2 linked regions of the Alligator mississippiensis genome follow. The protein of the gene in region 1 interacts with the protein of each later gene in a pairwise test. Links are inferred from orthologs where the notes say so. Each region holds a gene or a part of one and is shown on either strand. Other genes may lie near its edges. The genes, in order: RANBP9 and MKLN1.

Region 1 (10,466 bases):
CTTTAAATTCAATACTATGTAACACACAAAACGTACAAGCAATTTTGTACTGCAAAGTGTGTTTTGGTTTCACGTTGCTATGCATATTGTTTTGTACTGCAAAGTATGCTTTAGCTTGAATATGATCATGTTTAATATGTGTCTGCTTTGCTCTATTCAGGGGCGACACGTAGGGGGTACATGTGGCAGTATATCCTCTGCAAAAAGGCTCCCCACTCACCGCTGCCAGGCTTCCATCACCAAGCTTCCACCATCGCCAGCACAGCCATGCCCCCCAGCCACCGGAGCCATGTGCCATTCATGGTATATGATTTCTGTATTTGCTGTATCTTGTCTCCTCTCCTCTGCTTGGTGTTCTGTGGAGAAGAATGCTGTCTGGGGAGGTTGACAGGTAAGCCCCCTGCAGTGTCCTGGTATCTGTGGCCTTTTGGTTTAGGACCCCCTGCTTCCCCCCATGCTGAGACCAGAAAGCCTGGTCTTCCTCAAGTACAGCTTGAAAATCAGATCCCTAGCCTGATTGGCTAGACTGGACAGTGTTCTTTTTCTTAAATTAATTGCTCAAGAAAGAGGCTGGAAGCATGGCAAACCCTGATTAGGATACTTGGGGTGATGTCATGCCAAGGTATATAGCAATCTTTCAGCTAGGCAGCTAGCTGCAAGGCTGCAGAGCTGAATGCAAGCTCAGGAGAACGGCTCCTCATGGGGAGGGTCTCCCTCCCTTTCACTGGAGAAGCAAGCTGAAGCAATTTGAAGGGGAAACCTCAGATAAAGGGAGAGAGCATCTGTCTTAGTGTTTGGGGCTCTTCTTTCCTTCTTCCCTCCCCCTTTTTCCTTCTGGGTTTTGAGTGAGATAATACCATGGAGGTATTAATCCCTGGAGCAAACTGACCAGGATTGGAGCCTGGCAGTTTTTGGTCAGAGTTGAAGCCTGGTTCTTTTGTTGCTTTTGCAGCTTCTTTGTCCCAGCTAAGCTGTGTGGCTGGGACCAGCTGTAGTCCAGGCCCCGATGCAGGATAGGCCTGGCCAGTGGCAATGCATAGGGGGTGCACAGGGGTGAAGTAAACTGATGCTTATGAAAGCTTACAAATCTCAAATTTAGTCTATAAAGTACAAATCTACCATTACAGATAGTAACAGCAACTCTCTAACTGTGAGAGGGGTTAAGCACTGGAATATACTACTGAGACTGTGGAATCCCCATCCTTAAGAACATATTAGACCAGTGGTGATGCATAGGGAGGTGCACAGGGATGGATGTGCACCCCCTAAGAGCACTGGTGCACCCCCTGTTCAGTCACGCTCACTGCTTAGGTGATGGGCATGGGGGCAGACGGGAGCACCAGTGCCCCCTCCCCCACTCCTTCCCCCCCCCCCCCCCCCGCAAGTGCCAGCCGATCACTGCAGCTGCTCCCAGAAGTGGCCGCAGCCACTCCTGGAAGCGGCTGAAGCGATCAGCCTTCATGGGATTGGCCATGGGGGGACTCCCCCAGCCCGGGCAGTGAGATCAGCCGTGGGGGGGGGGGCCTCCACCCAGTCAGCGGGACTACTTGCACATGCCCCCCTTGACTAAGGCAGCACCAGACGCCCATGGGCCTGGCTCCTCTTTGAGTTCTTTTGCAGGTTGCTGCCCCAGCAGAGCTGTGTGATTAGGACTAAGAATTGTGGGGGTGCAGTATGCTGACTGAAGCTGCAGGCACCTCGTCACACCCTCTCCACAGGAAGTGGTGATCAGTGTCTTACAGCTTCCCAGGGAGCAATGACATTTGAACCTGGCACTTGTTGCTGCCAACTGGTGCCCAGGAGAGAGATCTATATTTGATTTCCAGAGAAGAAGAAGAAAAAGAAGAAGAAGAAGAAGAAGATGAGGAGGAGGAGGAACTTACTCCCATGTGTCAGGGCAAAACAGTAACCCTGACCCATGTCTCATGACTACAAGAAATCCTGTTCAATCTCGCTAGCATTTTTGAATATCACACCTTTATTACACCATATGCCACTTAGTTCAGTGAAATCATAATGATTTGCTTCTAGGGCTCCTACTTCCCAGTTCCAACTGCTCGGGAACCATGTGCATAAAAGTAGGAGTGCATGTGATATATCTGTATCTGTCTCGTACTGAATTTTAGCAGCTGGGAACAGGGAGAAGGAGAACCAGCTCTGCGGGGTGCTTTGTCACCACCAGGAAGGACTACACTTTGGAAGGACTCCTCCTTTCAAAACCCTACAGTCTGAAATGTTCTTTGGAATAACTGTGGATTAAATAAAATAGAAGAGAAGCTGTTTAATTTGTCAGATATAGCAGCCCTTTGAGACCACATCTGAAAATGCTCAGGCCCCTCTGTGGGGAGCTGTCTTAGTCTGAATCATAGAATTATAGGGAAGTGGTTGGAAGGGTCAAGAGGGATCTCAGGAGGTCGTTTAGTTCAACCACCTGCTCAAAGAAGGACTATCCCTAGCTATATAATCCCAGCCAAGTCTATGTCTAGCTGGGTCTTAAAAACCTCCAAGGATGAAGATTCCACAACCTGTCTGGGTGGCTTGTTCCAGTGCTTTACTCCTATCCTAGTGAGAAGGTGTTCCCTAATATCTAAATTAAATTTCCCTTACTGCAACTTGAGACCATTACTCCTTGTTCTGTCATCTGTCACCACTGAAAACAGTCTAGCTCCATCCTCTTTGGACACCCCCCTTCAGGTAGTTGAAAGCTGTTATAAAATCCCCTCTCAGTATTCTCTCCTCCAGACTAAAGGAGCCCAGTTCTTTCAGCCTTTCCTCAGAACTCATGTCCCCCCAGCCCCCTCACCATTTTTGTTGCCCTGTACTGGACTCTCTCCAATTTATTCACATCCTTTCTGTAGTGGGGGGCCCAGAACTGGACATAGTACTTCAGATGTGACCTTGCCAGTTCCAAATACAGAGGAAGAATTTCCCTTGATCTGCTGGCAATGCTCCTATTAATGCAGTCCAGTATGCCATTAGCCTTCTTTGCAACAAGGTCACGCTGTTGGCTCATATTCAGTTTATTGTCCACTGCAAGCCCCAGGTCCTTTTCTGCACAGCAATGAAGTCAAGCAGCAGATAGTGCAGGGTGGCACTTCAGAGCAGTGGTTCTCCCCTGCTTTAGACTTCAAGGCAGATGTGCATTCACAGGGGAGGCACTGATGCAATTGCACGCCCCTTTGATTCCTAATCCATCCAAACCTTAAAACCTGTGCCTGGCAGCAGCATTTCTAGTCAGGCAGTAATGAGGAAGTCACTTGACTTCATGGCTCATTATCATCTACCTGATCCCTTTTAAACTCTACATTGCACAGGTGTTAATGACTGTTTCTTCTTTTTAATTGTCTTGATATTCTACCACTCAAGCTCGCCTTTGTTCTGCAGTTCTGCTGTGTGTTCACAGCTCCTGCTCATGAAGCTCCTATTTCACAGCACTGCACACTGTTTTAAAATTATTCCAATGAAGCTGGTTTTTGCTTCTATCTTAAATTCAGTCATATAGCTGTAGGCCCCTAGGGCAGGGGTCAGCAACATTTTTGGGCAGAGTGCCGAAAACATCTGCAACCTCAATTTGTAAGATGTTTGTGTGCCAGGGCAGACAATGGGGGAGCCATAAGTGGCCCAATTCTTGTTATGGCAGCACAGGCCCGACCCCTTCCCTGCTGTTCAACCCAAGGCAGGAGTGCAAAGCAAAATGCCTTTGAGTGCCACACTCTGGCACCTATACCGGGGGTTGCCAACCCCTGCCCTAGGGGATTAGAAAAGATTCTAGTTTAACTGGAGAAATATATGTGTTGTTTTACACATGACGATGTACCTCACCACCTGCACCCCCCTTTCCAAAATTCTAGATCCACCCCTGGCCCAGGCCCAGACAGAGGTGGTGGGGAGGTGACTGAGTCTGAAGTCAGACAGCAGGCAGGGCAGGGTGGCACCTTAGAGCAGCGCTGCTCCATCTTTTTAGACTTCAAGGCACCCCCTGGCGAGATGCGAGGCACCTCTGGAAAAATGCCCATTCTTCATTTTCACTCTTTTTTCCCACCCTGACTACAGAAACATAACACGGCTGTTTTTCTGTGGCAAAGAACTCGGGATTACGGGCGTCTCCAGGAACCACAGAATCCCATTTGAAACCTGCGCTCTGATCTTGCCAATCCTGTCCACCAGTGCACCAGGGCTGGCGTGGTGGGGCATTGGCTGTGGAATGGGTGGACCACCCAGGCCATGGCCCAACCAACTTTTAGCACATTAATTTAGCTAGCTATGCAGTTAAAAAAAATAGCTATACAGTTTTAAGCGGAATGACAATTGGGCATTTGTGGGTTATATAAATTAATATGCTAGAAGTTGGTCGGGCCATGACCCTGGTGGCCCACCCGTTCCGCAGCCTATGCAGTGGGGCACCTTGCTGCAGCACCCTGGTTGGAAATGGCTACCTCCAGGTGTCCAGAGGAGGCAGGAGCTCTCCTAGGTGCCAGGGTTCAAATGATGGGGGAACGGAAGGGGGGGGCATTGAGCCTAATAAAATCAGAGTCCCCACAGGTTATGATGTTCAGATCTTAGAGGGGGGCTCTTGTCTTATGGGGAGATAAGAGACAAGAGCCCCCCTGTAAGATTTGAAAATCGTAACGGGTGGGGTGTCTTTGATTTTATTCAGGCATCATGATGGGCAGCCCAATTTTTTGTGCAGATCCCTGAGGCAAAGTGTAATCCAGGGGTGGTCAAAATGCGTCCCGTGGGCCAGATGTGGCCTGCCAGGCCATTCTATCTGGCCCCCAGGGCCCCTAAAAAATGGAGAAAATTAATATTTATTTGCCCCTGGCTGCCTGTCATGCGGTCCTCGATGGCTTGTGGAAAGTCCATAAGCGGCCCTCCGCCCAAAATAATTGCCCGCCCCATGTAGTCCAAACCCTGGCTAGGACTAGGAGTGGGCTTGTTGCCTCCTGAAGGTCAAGCGCCTCTCCCTGCAGGGCAGTGAGAAGCCCTCCAGTGTCTCCCCATGTACGTGTGGAGAGAAGGAGAGGGGACCCCAGTGCAGGGGGGCGGGGCCGCAGCCTCGCGCCTGGTTTCGCGGTCACGCCGTAGCCTCCTTAGGAGCGGAAGCCACACCCCTCCCGCCGGGTGGGGAGGGGCCGAGTCTCGCGCACACCTCGGACGTCACCGGCGGAAGCCCCGCCCCCTACCCCCGCAGGAAGCGGCTCAGCTGAGCCGGGACGCACCGCGGTGCCCCTCCCCCTCCCCGCGTCAGAGCGCGGCTGCAACCATCGCCCCCCGCCCCGCCCCGCGCAGCCAGCGGCCCAGACCCGGCTGGGATGTCCGGGCAGCAGCAGGTCCCGCAGGCCCCGGCCCTCGCCGGCCCCGCGCAGGCCCCGGCCGCCGCGCTGCTCCTGCACCCGCCACCACCGCCGCCGCCCGCCACCGCCGCCCCGGCCCCGCCGCCGCCGCCCCCGCCGCCGCCTGCAGCCACCGCCGCGCCGGGGCCCGGGGCCGGGCCGGGGGGGAGCAGCGCGGCGGCGCCCTTCCCGCACGGCGATGCGGCCCTCAACGAGCAGGACAAGGAGCTGAAGCGGCGGCTGCGCCGGCTCTACCCGGCCGTGGACGAGCGCGAGACGCCGCTGCCGCGCTCCTGGAGCCCCAAGGACAAGTTCAGCTACATCGGCCTCTCGCAAAACAACCTGCGCGTCCACTACAAGGGTCAGCGCCCCTCCCCCACGCCCCGCACCCCCTTCTCCCCTCCCCCACCCCCCAGTTCACCGTCAGAGCCCTCCCCATCCCCCCCAACCCCTCCATTAGCACCCATCTCACCCTCCTGACCTGATCAGCAACCCCCCTCCTGATCAGCACCTATCTCACCCCCCAACCTGGTCTGCACTACTCTTCCCCGTCAGTACCCATTCCTCCCTCCCAGTTATCTCCCATCTTGGCACCCATCTCCCTCCCCCTGGTCAGCCCCCATCTCACCCCCCCAGCACCCCTCTTCCTATCCTTCCCCCTCCCTCACTGCCCCTTGCTCTGGGGTGGGAAGGGTCCCCCCCCAGGGTGTAGGGGGAAGGGAGGGAAGGCAGCAGCACTACAACAATAACAGGAAGCCAGGCCTGTCTGCTCTTCTTGGGATTCCACCCCCTCAGGAGTTTACATGGGTGTGAGTGGGGTGGGGGGTGTGATTCAAGTTCATTTCCCCCCCCCCCCCCCCCCCCCCCCCCACTCACTTGCTGCATGAGATCCTGGGAGGAGAAGAGGGAAGGTAGAAGAGTCAGAAATGGCCTGTGTTAAGCAAAGGGTTCTGGAGGGAGAAGAAAGGAGACTGAGCAATTCAGAAGCAGAAACGTTCTTTTTTTTTGTCTAGGAAGAGAGCGAGGACATGGGTGAGATCAGGCCCCTGGAAATGCTGCGGAGCCAGGCACAGGGAGGGTGCATCTCTGTGTGTAGGAGAGCAAAAAAAAAAAAAAAAAGTGGGGGGGGCAGGGAGGGAGTCTGTCTGTCCGTCCCCCTGCACCCCCCCCCCCCCCCCCGGGCATCCAGCCAGGGGTAGGCCTCTGAGGGGTCTTGAGTGGGAAGATTAGGATTTAAGACGTAAAGCAAGGAATATTACAGTTCATGCTGTGGTTTCCCGTGACTTGCTTGTCAAATTGGCAGCAGCAAAGGTATAAAATATTATACTCGTGTAGGGCAGCAACAATAGAGGCTGTAAGTGTTGGTTGTTGTGAACATGTCATAGAAGCCATAAGGGTATGAGTTTACCCTGACCTATTAAAAAAGGGCGCACGCAGGCACGCAGACTCACATCTGGTATTCTAGGCCCAAGTCCCGAGTGCTTCGGATCAAAACAACTTCTGAGTTGGCTTCAAGGGGAGGTCTTTGGTCACAGTGTAGTCAAACGAATGTAGAAGAAGGGGAAAACCCTTGTGATTACCCTTTCTCTAAGTTTACAGTAGTGAAATTGAAGTGAAATCTTGATAAACATGTTACTGTTTAATCAAAGAGGAGGAAAATGGCAACACAAACATACAAATGGTAGGATTTGGCCGCTGTAAAAGGATTTGATGTACTTTGCAAGGTATTCTACAAGAGGCAGGGCCTAGTGTGTATTGTATGAAATACTTCATTCAAATAATATTTAAGTTGCAGACTTGCAAAGCTAGTAAATTCAGAGTTGATGACTTATTATGGCCTTCTGGAGGACCCTAAGAAGGAAAGATATGTTGTGTAATATTAAACTTTGAATTTCCTGACTTCTTTTCAGGTATTTATGACCTGGGGATTTTTAGAAGTGTATTATAGTTGATCTAGTTTGACTGTTAAGTTTTTCATCACGTGCATGTAGCTTTCTGCCAAGTTTGCTCACTTGTTTTGCTGTGATTTTCTAAAATGGTGAGCTAAAAACAAATAAATAAGGAATCGTTCTGGTCTGTTGGCTTCCTACAAAAGTACATTTTTATGATTTTTTTTTTCTTTCTTGCTTTACCTGTCATCTCCCCCCCGTCTCTAAAAGTTAAAACCATATTGCTGCATCTTGTTGCAATTTCTTTGAAGAAATTATGAATGAATGTTAAACATTGGCTATGCTGACTACCCGACATGTTCACTGCCTACAGAGATCGAGGCCATAGAAATACATTATGTAAGCTGGGACACTTAAGTAATTAGTGACAACTAAAGGGAGCCTCACCTAATAAGAATGTAGGGGGAATGTTGGCTAGTTCTTTAGTAAGTCAACTTGGAGATTACCAGACTAACACATAGGTATGTGGATCAGAAAAGGTGGTCTTAGAAGGGTAGCCCCTCTTCTAACTGCAAACATGCTGTTGTTTAAAGCAGTGAATGGCTCCTTAAAAATTGAACTTTTCTCCCCTTTTATCCTGAATCTTAATGGAGATAGGTACTGCTGCAGCTTCAGGAAGAAAACTTTCAGAATCTCTCTGATTTTGTAAAGTGCTGGAACTGGCAATACATCTGTGGCTATCTGGGCAGTAGGAAAAGAACCGGAATTGGCATTGCTTTTGATAAAGATTTTGAAACAAATGTGTGGGTTGTTGGTGGAAATCTGTGGGATCTTCCACCAGCATCCTTGAAAAATAGATCCAGTCAAGAAGTGGGTAATGTTAAAAGCAATGACTCCATTAGTCTTGTTGATTCTTGGATGCATTTATTCAGGCTTCCTTTGCTCGTGCAACATTCTGATAATAGAAATGGCTTTTTTTGGAGGTAGTTGCTCCCTATCTGTGACTGACAGGAAGTGCTGTTTCTGGTAACATCAGTGCTTTTTTTTCCTAGCTTGTTTCCCCTTTCCATTCCACCTTTTTTCTTCTTTTTACTTCCACTGTAGTTAAATGTCCTAAGTTTGTCTTTCTGACAACATATTGGAGTTAAAGGTAGCAACCACTTGAGTGAACCATCCAAAAAAAAAAAATGTATGTATGTACAGTCCTCAAACTGCATGCTGACATACAGACATGTGCACACAGGCACGTGCGCACACATATATATGCACACGTACGTGTGTGTATATGCGTGGATGTGTATGCATGTCACTATGCAGTTTGCAGACTGTATTTTGCCCACCCAATCAAGGAAATGCAATATCTTGAAATCCTAATATACTTCTGTAACATTACTGTACAAAAGAGCTGCTTCTCAGTTTGTAGCCTGTTCTTTGTTTTTTCCAATCGCTTAATAATTTGAATCTACTGCTTTATTTGGGTGCTTTGTGCCTGAAATCTTGTCTTGCCTCTCTCCCAATTACATAGTTTCTCCAGTAAAGATACTGCCAAAGAACTCTTGCTTCTGTCATCATGTCAGACAAAAAAGTCTTATACAATTTTTGAATAAATGGACTTTGCTGGGATCCCCCCCCTTCCCTCCCCCGTAAATACAGGTATTTCTGAGTGGCTTCCAATGTCGGGTTAAAAAAATCTTCTAGTTTTATCTCCACTTCTAGGTGCTTCTTCACATTTGTCTAGTAGACAAAACAGGGTTCTGATGGAAATAATCCTATATGAGCTTATCAAGAGCATTTTAAATTCATTCAGTAACATTTTGGAGAAACCGAGATGGATCTACTTTACTGTACCAAATATAGCCAAGGCAGCAATACAGAGGCCTATTTTGTACAGTTAAAGCAATCACAGAAATTGAAGTCACTGAGTAACTGCTTACAGGTCTTGATATTTTTAGTCTGAGTAAAACCTTTCCCCTGTATCCACTTAAGTTTCTGTTCAATTTTTTTAGCCGATTCCTGCAGTTTCCCAATAACATTAGTCATTTTAAACTATATTTACCTAAAGTATGTATTTACAAATTAATAACATAGGATCATAGGATGAACCCGAAAGCTTGCTTAATAACTATTCTCCAACCATTTGGGTTGGTCTAATAAAAGATATCAAATTCACCCAAGGAACCTTGTCTAACACAGGATCATACATCCCAGTAATTTTGCCAAGGAGATCCCTTTGACTTAAGTAAGGTTAGTTAATGTTTATGGAGTTACTCATTTATATGTTTATAGCATTGGGCCTTAATATTAGGTTTTAAAAACTAAAATAATTTCTGTGATTATCACTACCTTATCTCTGTTTTAGCTGGTTATTTCAAGTGTATGTTGTTTAAATTTAGCTTATTTTTAATACTAATTTAATTTCAGAGGGAAATTTCTGTTTCTAAAGACCTTATGATATATTTTTTTAATAAAAGTTAATTAATATCACTAACAGCTGTTAAAATAACTTTTTATTTATAAAGTGAGTTAGTCTCAGTTCTTTGATCAAAGTGATTGCAGGTTTTTATAAAGACTTCGAAGTAAAATTAAAATTTACAGGAAGGTAGTGGAAATTGCTGTGTAAGACTCTTGCAGAACACTTTTTTAATGATGAAAAAAGGCTTTTAGTCTTTAATCTTTCACACACTTTAAAAATTGTCATCCTATTATAGACTATATCTTAAACTCTGTAAAAGTCTTACTATTGAAAACTTCTATTTCAGGTAACGTAGAGAAAAATGTTGGGAGGCTTTATGGGGTGCTCCTTGCAATGCTTAAGATCCAACTGACTGCATTTCTTGCATTTTGAATTTACTATCAAAGTAGTAACTACAGACCATCTAGAATAAGCATATTTTTAAAATTAGAGGCTACCTTATAGGTTAGAAAAGAGATCTTTAAAAAGGACAGCATCTTGAAATTTAGTCAGTTTTCCAAACCCATTTTAGTTTGGATATCATTGGATAATAGTAATAGATTTGCAACCACATTTTCCTATTTTTTAAAATGTTTTCCTCCTCCTCCTTTTTTGGGAAATTTGATTCAATTGTTTAGTGAAAACAGTGAAACTACAGGGATTTCCATAAAATATACAAAGAGAAGTACAGGAATATTTTCCTGTAATTTATAACTGTATCTCTTGGGTTTTTATTTTTAAATGTTAGGAAATATTTATTTTTATTTTAGGGATTAAGTGATATCTAAACAG
Region 2 (10,643 bases), on another chromosome or scaffold:
TCAGTGGCAAAGTACTGTGCTACCTACGCAATGCAGGAGAGACAGGTTGGATCCCTTCCCGCATGTAGACTGCTGAGCATACCTTTGTGCCACAGCTGCTTTCGACAAACAGGAAGACAAACACCATAAGCTGAAGAAAGAGAGGTATTTGCCTGTTTTATGGACTTTTAAAAAAGCTTGTGACTCACTAGCACCCTAGGCTCAGCTTTTAACGGATGCCAAATGGAATTGTTGGTGAAACACATGATACAATTAAATCTATGCACCAATCAATGGGCTGCAGGATAAAAATAAACCACATGCAAACAGATGCCTTCAAAGAATGAAAAGTGGAATAAGAGAGGGATGCAGAATCACTCCCACCACAAATATTCATCAACTACTTGTGCATTTCCTTTCTCATGTCCTTGTGACGAGGCATTTAGCGGTATTCACCGATTTGTTGGAACCTGACAGGGCTGTGCCATGAGCATTTCTGCTGTGGCCTTCAAATGTGCAACCTCTGGGTTGTCAAACATGTGCCTTAGCACCCACGTGACCCCAGGCCCCCTAACTACTCATGCCAGTCCAACAGATCTCTCTAGGCAGTGACCTCAGAAAGGAAGAAAAAAAGGAAAGAAGAATACTGCAAGATATTGATACTGACTGCAAAATATTAAGAGATAAAATGGCCATAGCTTAGCTGATGTAAATGGACCGAGGAAACATTTCCACTGATATATATATATAAATAGATAGATAAATAGATCTATCTATCTATCCTGTTATATATCAGTTGAGGATTTAGGAGCACAGGAAGGCAGAACCAGAAAGGACCACCTGGGTCAGTGAGTCAAGTCCCCTACAACTGCAGGCTACTGGGCACCTGTATGCAAATGCTTGAATGCCCATTAGCCTATTTTAATGTGCATTAAAGTGTCACAACCCCCCCCCCCCCCCGTACCCTTTTAATGCATGTTAAAATAGGCTAATGCATCCTTTTTCTAGTACAGGGGTGGGCAGTTATTTCATGCAGAGGGCCGCTTACTGAGTTTGGGCAAGCCATCTAGGGGTGCATGACAGGCAGCCAGGGACAGATGAATATTAATTTTCTAAATTTTTTAGGGGCCCCACAGGCTGGATAGAATAGCCTGGTGGGCTGCACCTGCCCGTGGGCCGCATTTTGCCTGCCCCTGTTCTAGTACCTCACAATGGAGGTACTAAATTTAATGTACATTAGCAAAAGCACATTAATGAACGTGTACATGCCAGCTGTATAATAGACATTAGGGTTGGATCACCGAGAACATCTAGGTCAGTCTCTCCTGCATGCCAGGTGCCCCAAAGTACTCCCTAAAAGCCAAAGACTTTAAAAGCTCTGCTACAGCGTGCCAAAGGCAAAGAGCAGAGGACACAAACAGCATTACTTTGGGTCTCTACAAGAGCAGGGAATTTTTTTCCTGAGGTCCCTGTATTAGAGGAAGGTAAAAAAAAAGCCCTCCAGAAGCATCTTCTAAACCTGACCCCAATTCTTTTTCCTAACCCCAAATTGGGCAATCTGTCTGACCTTGATGCAGGAGCAAGACCTGCCGGTCAGGCACAAGGTGTTTCTTGACACCTTCAAGTCCACAATGCAAAATTTCTCCCCATTTAACAGGCCTGATTCACCAAGCAGACACCAGCGGGGTTATTTAAAATCAGGGGTGCCAAACATATATCCCACAGGGCAGACCCAGGTCATGGGGCCACTCTGTCTTGTCCACCGACAGACCACTGGAAGTTGGGGGCTCTGGGCAGGGGGCCTGGCTTAGATTCCAGGGTCCTCTGGCCTTGGTAGACAAGGTGATCAGCGGCAGGAGGGCTAGTGAGGGCTGACAGTTTTGATTGCCCTACAGCTGCCTTGCTTATTGTCATTGAAGTGGCCCTGTCTCCCTGGCTGCCGGCTCCTGCCACTTGCCCCATTTTGGAGCTGCTGCCATTGCATGAAGCGCATGACGGTGGCAGCTCTGGCTCTGACACAGGGCATGCAGTGGGGCTGAAGCTGCTGCCACATGCCCTGGGTTGGAGATGGAGCTACTGTCATGCTGCTGCAAGCTCCTGGTTGCAGCCGGAGCTGCTGCTGCTTCCTCATGCCCTGGGCTGGACCTGGCACAAGGAGTGCCCTATAAGCCACGTCTGGCTCAAGACACAAGATGAGTCTGACACCCCCGTTTTTAGCAGTTTTATGCTCGTTCTGAGATCCTGGGCTATAACTTTTAATGAGTCTAAACTGGAATAGGAGGCAAAATGTATGACATCATTAAATCCATGCTCATCGGCTTCAAGATAAGAACAGATGACATGCAAATGGATGCCTTCAAAGAAGAAAAAGGCAGGAATTAAGCCCTCTATCTGTTCCAAATGATCTAATTATGTATCAGTCTTATTCAGTTCATCCCAAAACCATTATGAGATGAGTCTGAGGTAAGCAGCTATTGTACTCAGATGACCTTGACATGCTGCTGCCCACACAGGATCGCTTTCAGAAAACCCGGCATTTTCTCGCCCTCTATCTCCTCCGGTGCCTCATCTACCCTCCCCTCTATGCTCCTAGCTGTTGCATCCACTTGGAATACATTGCAGCTTAAGGAGACTGGATGATCTAGTGGAGAGACTTTGGACTGGGGCTCGAGAGACTTGGCAAACTTGCAAAACAGGCTTTCATAAGGATAAAGCACACTCCCGATTGTGAAATCCTTGGACACTGCAGTCATGAAGCCACACAGATACCTACAGAGTATGGGGATTTTTGTTAATCCCAGGAGATATTCTGCACACCTAATTCTGTGCACTTTTTAGAAAAGTTGCAGATGACATTAAATAGAGAGCAAATGCAGAGGGTGGGCAGGGCAGAGTAACAGCTCAAAAGATGTTTTAGAAACATGTACAGTCGATCAGATAGTAAGGATTATAAGGTTATACTTGGCTTGGAAAAAGGTAAACTAATGTTTGGGGAGGGCACATCTTTGAAATGCAGATGGACATGGGAAAGCTGGGGGCAGTAATGGTGGAACATATGGTCAGGATGGACAATGTCGGGACGGCAGGGTCATAAGCAAAACAGGCCGTGCCACCGTGACTGCTTATGAATGGACATTGCATTAAAGAGAAGGGAAGCAAAAAAAATCTTTTGTGAAAGGCTGTGTGGTGTGATTGTACCCGACACAATGCACTCAATGCAGGGCAGCGTGTTTCCAGAAAGATACCGAAAACTGGAGAGAATGAAAGAAAAGCAGAGAAAAAGACAAATAAACCTAGAGGAAAACATGCACTGACCTGAGCAAGGCTGGTGAAAACAGGAGTGGAAAGACAGAATTTGATATAAGTGAGCAGAGGAAGGGCTGCGATCAGGACAGGGAAAGAGCAGGCTGAATATCACCCTGCCAGGGAAATGCATCTGGCTGTAAATCCTTACGATCACTCTTTCAACTTTGTCTCCACTACCGATGCTGCCTTGTGAGATGATCGAACGGAGCTATTATCTCCGTCCAGAAAATAAGCCGATGCTCTCAGCCCAAAAAGGCAAAGATTTATCTGCATTACTAGCAACAGGAGTAAATCACTCCGTAGACTCCCAAGGGAAGTGGTGGGAGGTCCCTTGTGTGCAACTCGTAAAAATGTAATTATTTACTTTTATTACTGCTGTGTCGAAAAGCCACAATCACGAGCCAGGGCTCCCAGGTGCTAGGCGCTGTACAAATACACGCCCAAAGAGTGAAAACAGCTGGTTTCAAGCTGCAGCATGGGGGAGAATGATGCACAGGCTAATGACAGATGAACAGGATGGTCTGGCTAGTCTTTCCATCCCGCACGTCCGAAAAGCGAGAGAAAGGGCACCATGCTCCATAGCAGCTGTGAATCAGCAGTGGACGAGGAGGAGGAGGAGCGATCCTGGGGATGGGGAAGGCTCTTTCAATGGTTTTACTTGTTCATCTGCTCCTTCCTGCCCTGGGCTGGGCAGGTCAGCTGAGCTTTCGGCTGACATGCAATCAGACCACAGAGCAGGGGCCAGACCAGGTCTGAGCCAGGCTGTCCCTGTCAGGCTCTCCAAGGCAGACAGGATTTCCGCTCCATCCTTGTCCTGGCACCACCCGGATGCCACAATGAAGTGTCCATGTCTAGCGAGGAGCATAGCTCAGTTGTGTGAGAAGTGAGGACCTTTGTGGGTGGTATCTTTTATTGGACCAGCTATGTGACTGCAAAAGGATCCTGCCCAACAGCCTGGTTGAGAATCACTGTATTAAGTAGCAGCGGACAAACAATGAACAGAAGAAAAGCAGCTGAGGACAAAAACAGACAACTGTTTTGATGCAAATCTTGAAGGAATCGGGCCTGGATCGAACCGTTGTGTCCAGCTGCCCGTCGTGTGCCTTTGGAGGGTGTTGTGTCCATTTCCCTGGAGCGCCGGCATGGTGCGGGCTGTGAACAGGGCGCTCCCGTCGGTGTCTGTGTGTCTCCATCCCGTCTGTTTCTCTTGTAGGACTTTGCTCGGGGGCCTGGCATCTGTCCGGTTTCCCCGGAGGTGTCACGAGGGCACATGGTGCGCTGCATCGCGTCTGGGGAAAGGCCGTGCGTGTGCAGCTCTGTCGCACGGGGCTGCCGTGGCCTGGGCCTCCGGAGCAGCCCCCTCCTGGCGCTGACCTGGCCCCACGCAAGGGACCCGAGCAGGCCGGGCTGGAGGCCTCCGAACCTGCCTCCGATTTGGGGCTGGACTAGATGCCTCGGGAGCCCCGGTGCTGCCCAGTGATGGGGATCGCACCCGAAACCAGGCGCTGGCAGAGCCCGGGGGGGCGGGGGGGGGCAACTGCCCCATCCGCCTGCGTGTGTGGGGGGTCGGGAGGGTCTGTCCCTCGCACGGTCCCGCCTGCCTGGGTGTGTGCGGCGTGTGTTGGGTGTCCATCCGAAGGTCCTGTCCTCTGTGCATGTGTGTGTGCTTGTGTGTTTGTTTGTGGTGAGTGTCTGCGTCTGTGGTGGGTGTGTGTGTCTGACTGTCCTGTGTGTGTGTGTGTCTGACTGGTGTGTGTGTGTGTGTCTGACTGTCCTCTTTCTGTGTGTCTGTGGGGTGTGTCTGACTGGTGTGTGACTGTCCTCTGTGTGTGTGTGTGTGGGGGGGGGGTGTCTGACTGGTGTGTGTGTGTGTGTCTGACTGTGCTCTTTTTGTGAGTCTGTGGGGTGTGTCTGACTGGTGTGTGACTGTCCTCTGTGTGTGTGTGTGTGTCTGTGGGGTGTGTGTGTCTGTGGGGTGTGTCTGACTGGTGTGTGACTGTCCTCTGTGTGTGTGTGTGGGGGGGGGGTGTCTGACTGGTGTGTGTGTGTGTGTGTGTCTGACTGTCCTCTTTTTGTGTGTCTGTGGGGTGTGTCTGACTGGTGTGTGACTGTCTTCTGTGTGTGTGTGTGTGTGTCTGTGGGGTGTGTGTGTCTGTGGGGTGTGTCTGACTGGTGTGTGTGTGCGACTGTCCTCTGTGTGTGTGTGCGACTGGAGGTGTGCGTCTGTCTGACTGTCCTCTGTGTGTGTGTGTGCCTGTCTGTGGGGTGTGTCTGACTGGTGTGTGTGTGTGTGTGTGAGACTGTCCTGTCTGCGTGCGTGTCTGACTGTTGTGTCTGTCTGTGGGGGTGTGGGGGGTGTCTGACTGTCGTGTCTGTGTGTGTCTAACTGTCCTGTCCTGTGTGTGTGTGTGTGTGTCTGACTGTCCTCTGCGTGTGTGTGACTGTTGTGTCTGTCTGTGGTGTGTCTGTCAACTTGTCCTATCCCCGTGTGTGTCTGTAGCCGTGTCTCTCGTGTGTGTGTGAGAGAGACTCCCCGGCCGCGGCCCCTTTAAGAGCCCCCTCCCCCTCCCGTCCCCTCCCCCCGGCGCTGCGGCGCGGACAAGATGGCGGCGGCGGCGGCGGGGGCCGGGTGCGGGGCGGCGGGCCGGGTGCTGTCCTACGCCCTGCACCGCTGGAGCAGCTTCTCCTCCACCTACCTGCCCGAGTGAGTGCGGACCCCGCCCCGCCTCGCCTCGGCCCCGGCCTGGCCCCTCACCTCACCTCACTTCACCTCACCTCACCCCGCCCCGGCCCGGCCCGGCCCGGCCCGGCCCGGGTGCCGGGCCGCGCTCCCCCCCTGCAGGGCCTTGGGGCTGGTCCCGGCCCCGCGCTCGGCCCCCGCCCGGCGCCTGGGGGGGCCGCGATGTCACGGCGGGGGTGATGATGTCACGGCAGTGACGTCACTGCGGCCCCGCGCTCCAGCGGGGACTGGGCCTAGTTGGTGTGGTGTGTGGCGCTGTGCGCGCGTTGCGTTGCGTTGCCGGGTCAACGGGCAGGAAAGCCCACGTGTGCCCCAACCAGCCCCGTCCGCAAGGCCCATGGTCCTCTCCTGTTCGGACTTGGGGGCACGTCGGCTCTCACAGTTTGGTTTTTTTTGGGGGGTTTGCTGGTAAGAAACCAGATGGACACGGCCAAGACCTCAGGAACATCCTATTAGCCACCGCTGGGTTGACCTTTCCGACCCTGGGCCCTTCACAGGACCCGGCTACCAGTTGACACATTTATTATAATTATATGACAACAGATTTGTTACAATTATATGACAGCAATTTGCTGGTGGTCCTTAAGGTTGTATCAGTTTTAAATTGGCGGCACGCAGTCTGTCAGGGTTTGGGAGCCGCGGCCCTCGTGTCTGGCAGAGCCACTTTGCTGGGAAAGACCTTGAATGGTTCTTGCCCCCGTCTTGAAAACTTGTTTGGTTTTTCACAGTGTTTCAGGGAAGAGAGAAAATGTTGTGTGTAGTTCAGTATTGATCTCATTGCCGCTGCGTGCAGAAGTAATAGCTTCTCTCTCTTTCCCATCCAAAGAGACCATTAGTCCTTTTTTGCCTCAGCCTCTCATCAGCAGGGATCCTGGATTTCTCTGACTTTTACCAAAAAAAAATCCCCAATTTTTCAGATTTAAAAAAAAAAAAAAAAAGTAACCCAAAATCCACATTTTGGAGTGATTTTTTTTAAAATGAATCTCTATCTCCAGTAGTGTTTTGGTTTAATTGCACACACATGTGGATTTTGGGTTACTTTTTTAATCTGAAAATTGTGGAGATGTAAATAAATATATATATCTTCACAATTTTTATTTTATTTATATATCTATATAGATATAAAATAAAATTTTTTTTTTCCCTTAATCAGAGAAAACCAGGATCCCTGCTGATCAGTACCTTGTGTTCAGCTGGTTATCCTGGAGGCTGTCCCGAGTCCCCGCTTTCCAGGACACGGCCCCCTTGTAAATGTGGCTGCTGTTTGTAGGTGTCTGACCTCTTGCTGACCGTATTAAAATGTGTGTTTCGTTGAGCTTTCTCTGTATTAGCGACCCGTTGTTTGAGTTAGTTTTCACCTTGCTGACCTTCTGACAAAGTTGCTACCGTAATATATGTACTTTCTTCCAGATCTTTGATAAACACCTTGGAAATCAGGTTTGGCCTGAGTGATCCTTGTGTTAAGGAGCTGTCACTTTGCTTCCTACTAACTGCTTCCCTACTGCTGTGTTTGAGAGAGCTTAAATATGAAACGCACCTGGAAAAGGAAAGAGGAAGTCTTGTCCCTTTGCTCCAGGCTGATTTGTTTTGCCTCCCTTGAAGCAGACGTGTAGGTGGATCCTCTTGGTGTGGAGATGATTGATACTTATGGGATATTTACTATTGTTAAAAATGGGCTTGGTCTCCAGTATTGACAAAAGGAAAAAAAAAATGTTTTCCTGAAATATTGCTGCAAACCATGGTTAAAACATGGTTCAGTTTTACCTGACTAGGAAAACTGAATTATTTGAATGTAGCTGGGAAGAGTGTGCCAGTGTTAATAGCGGGAATCAATACTGTCTGCTGTTTCACCAGGATTGACCTTGGGCCACGTCAGCTGCGAGCAGATCGGTGCCTGCCACAGCTCTGTTGTTGCTAGACAAATATTAGTAGGGACTAAGATTTCCCCCCCCCCCCCCCCCCCCCCCCCCCCCATCCTTTCTCCTTGAATTGTACTGTCAAATAGTGCTTTAGATAATTGCCTTAAGTGAGCAAAAACACATTCCCTCTCTCATAGATTTCATAGACATTAGGGCTGGAAGGGATCTCATAAGATCATCCGGTCCAGCCCCCTGCCCAAAGGATCCCAGCAAGAAAAATGTCCAAATGTTTCTTGACAGTGGCCAGAGCAGGTGCTTGCACCACCTCTGCGGGGAGTTTGTTCCAGGCTGTGGGGGCTTGGACAGTAAAGCAGTTTTTCCTTATGTCCAGCCTAAAATGGTCTTGCAGGAGTTTGTGACCATTGGACCTTGTCATTCCCTGGGGTGCTCTGGTGAACAGGCGTTCCCCAAGATCCTGATGCACACCCCTGATGTACTTATAGGCTGCCACCAAGTCACCCTTGAGCCTGCGCTTCTCCAGGCTGAAGTCCCATTGCTCGCAGTCTGTTCTCTTGCTCTCTGATCATGCGCGTGGCTCTCCCCTGAACTCTTTCAAGCTTCTCTGTATCCTTCCTAAATTGTGGAGCCTGAAATTGGATGCAGTACTCCAGCTGCAGCCTCACCAAGGCCAAGTACAGTGGGAGGATGACATCCTGGGTCTTGCTTGAGGTGCATTGGTAGATGTAAGCCAGAGTTTTGTTCATTGTGCCAGATGTGGTATTGCATCGATAGCTCATGTTCATCTTGTGGTCAATCATGACCCCCAAGCCTCTTCCAGTCATGATGCTAGCGAGTGTAGCATTGTGGAGCCTATGAGTGTGATGCAGCTTTTTATTCCTGAGGAGGAGCATCTTGCATTTCTCCATATTGAATGCCATCAAGTTTTCATCTGCCCATCTTGCAAGCCTATTGAGATCAGCTTGGATCTCCCTGCTCCTTCCCCTCTTCTTCCCGTCCCTGTCCCCTCACACTTAGATGCACTGGTTGAGGTGAGATTTACTAATGTATTGGCTATTCTTGAATCTGAGTTTTGACCCATTTTTAAAAATGGTTTTAGCTGTAGTTGTATTGGTAGAGTATTTCCCAGTCAGCTGCAGGACATTTCCTGCATCTTAAACACTTCCTAAATTTCTCAACAGTCAAATATAGCTAACAATATTCAGGTCAGTGAATATAAATGCCCTTGTGGACAAGTTCAAACCATGTCTCAGACTGTTGACTTGGGTCCATTTACAAGGCTACATGGTGGTCTTCAAGCTCTTCACATTGGTGATAACATGGCCTGAAGATAGCTTAAACCATGTGCTTAAACAACATACGCTAAATAAAAAAATCATAATTTTGCATAACATATCACAACTATCACTGCATTGTAATGGCCTTTGCTAGCACCAAGCTGAGTTTAGCATTAAATTCTGAAAACTTACCTAAGGTGCAGTGATGATACCTTTATTAGACCAATTAAAAATTGCACAAAAATTATTTTTCTTTTTTGCAATTTCTTAGTTGGTTTAATAAAAGGTATCATCTCTGAACCAAGAGTCCTAGAGTTTTGCACTTCTTGTTGTATCAGACAACATGGCTACTAAGTACAACATCCCTTAAAGTACAGTTGCACTTATGTGTATATAAACGGTAGAAAAGGGACTGATTTTGATTATGTTCATTTGATGTCATCTGCTAGTAGGGTTGTCTTTTTCTAGCCTGTAACAGCTTCACTGTCAAAGCTTAGTTGTGATTTTGTGGTTCTTAAATTGCTTGAGAGATATATCTAGATATATATAGATAGATATCCAAGGTAAATAGATATTTATAAGGTAAAAGATGCCTTGGATTGGACTTTCATCTCTTGTTCCCTGGGCCAACATAAACTGGCATTACCAAAGAGTTGGCAGGCTCAAGCCCTGGGAACAAAGGGCTTTCTCATGTGCTAACATCCTTTAATTGAGTCTTTCACGCCTAAGATCTATTTTGGTGATAAAAATGGAAAATCCTCTCCTTAGAAGTTTCATGAAAGATATAAAGTAAAACTCAAGATTCACTTTATAATAGAAAGCTCTCTACTTACAAAAGTTTATGCTGTACATCTCTGATTTAGTTCGTCCTTAAAGATGCAAATGTACCCTGCCTTCTGCATCACATGGTGTGTGTAAAAATCCTTACTGAAATGTGAAAAAGGTATATATTTTCCAGAATTATACACTTGGACTACACTGGTATTTGGAGACTCCAATTAAAGATCAAGCCCCGTTGTGATAAGCACTATAAATAGCATTCAGGCTAGCGGAATGGCACCATACATACTACATGTGGATGAACGTGGGTCTGGAAGGACCGTTGGGGTTGAGTACCATTTGCATGCAGTTATGTGCCATATTATTTTAATTAACTAAACAAGCTCATCTAAAAACATATTTCATGTCCCTACCATTTCTGTTGATACACTGATCCAGAACTTCACTTCTGAGATAATGAGAAACCTTTTAATTCCCATTCTAACCTGTTCCTAATCTGTTTTTGTGTTAGTTTTTGCAGAGACATTGTCATTTATTTTAGATAGGTCTTCCCTTTCTCTTTAGTCCTCAGCGAATTTATTGAGAACAATTGTATCTCCTCTTGACTTTTATTTTGATGGGGTGAAGACCATGTTGGTCTCTTAAGGCAGGTTGCCTGCTCCTCTCATCCTCTCATCTTGGTAT

Evidence for each region.
Region 2: the proteins of RANBP9 (region 1) and MKLN1 interact in a two-hybrid assay, tested with the Homo sapiens proteins (2 studies listed by BioGRID). The link is inferred for Alligator mississippiensis from reciprocal best matches to the Homo sapiens genes RANBP9 and MKLN1.

Annotation. Positions count from the first base shown.
Region 1 is NC_081826.1:127,913,198-127,923,663, reverse strand, and holds the start of RANBP9 (ran-binding protein 9), read left to right. Parts: upstream 1-5,238; 5' UTR 5,239-5,312; coding exon 5,313-5,694; intron 5,695-10,466. UniProt on the Homo sapiens protein: May act as scaffolding protein, and as adapter protein to couple membrane receptors to intracellular signaling pathways. Acts as a mediator of cell spreading and actin cytoskeleton rearrangement.
Region 2 is NC_081827.1:8,994,170-9,004,812, reverse strand, and holds the start of MKLN1 (muskelin), read left to right. Parts: upstream 1-5,873; 5' UTR 5,874-5,888; coding exon 5,889-5,989; intron 5,990-10,643. UniProt on the Homo sapiens protein: Component of the CTLH E3 ubiquitin-protein ligase complex that selectively accepts ubiquitin from UBE2H and mediates ubiquitination and subsequent proteasomal degradation of the transcription factor HBP1.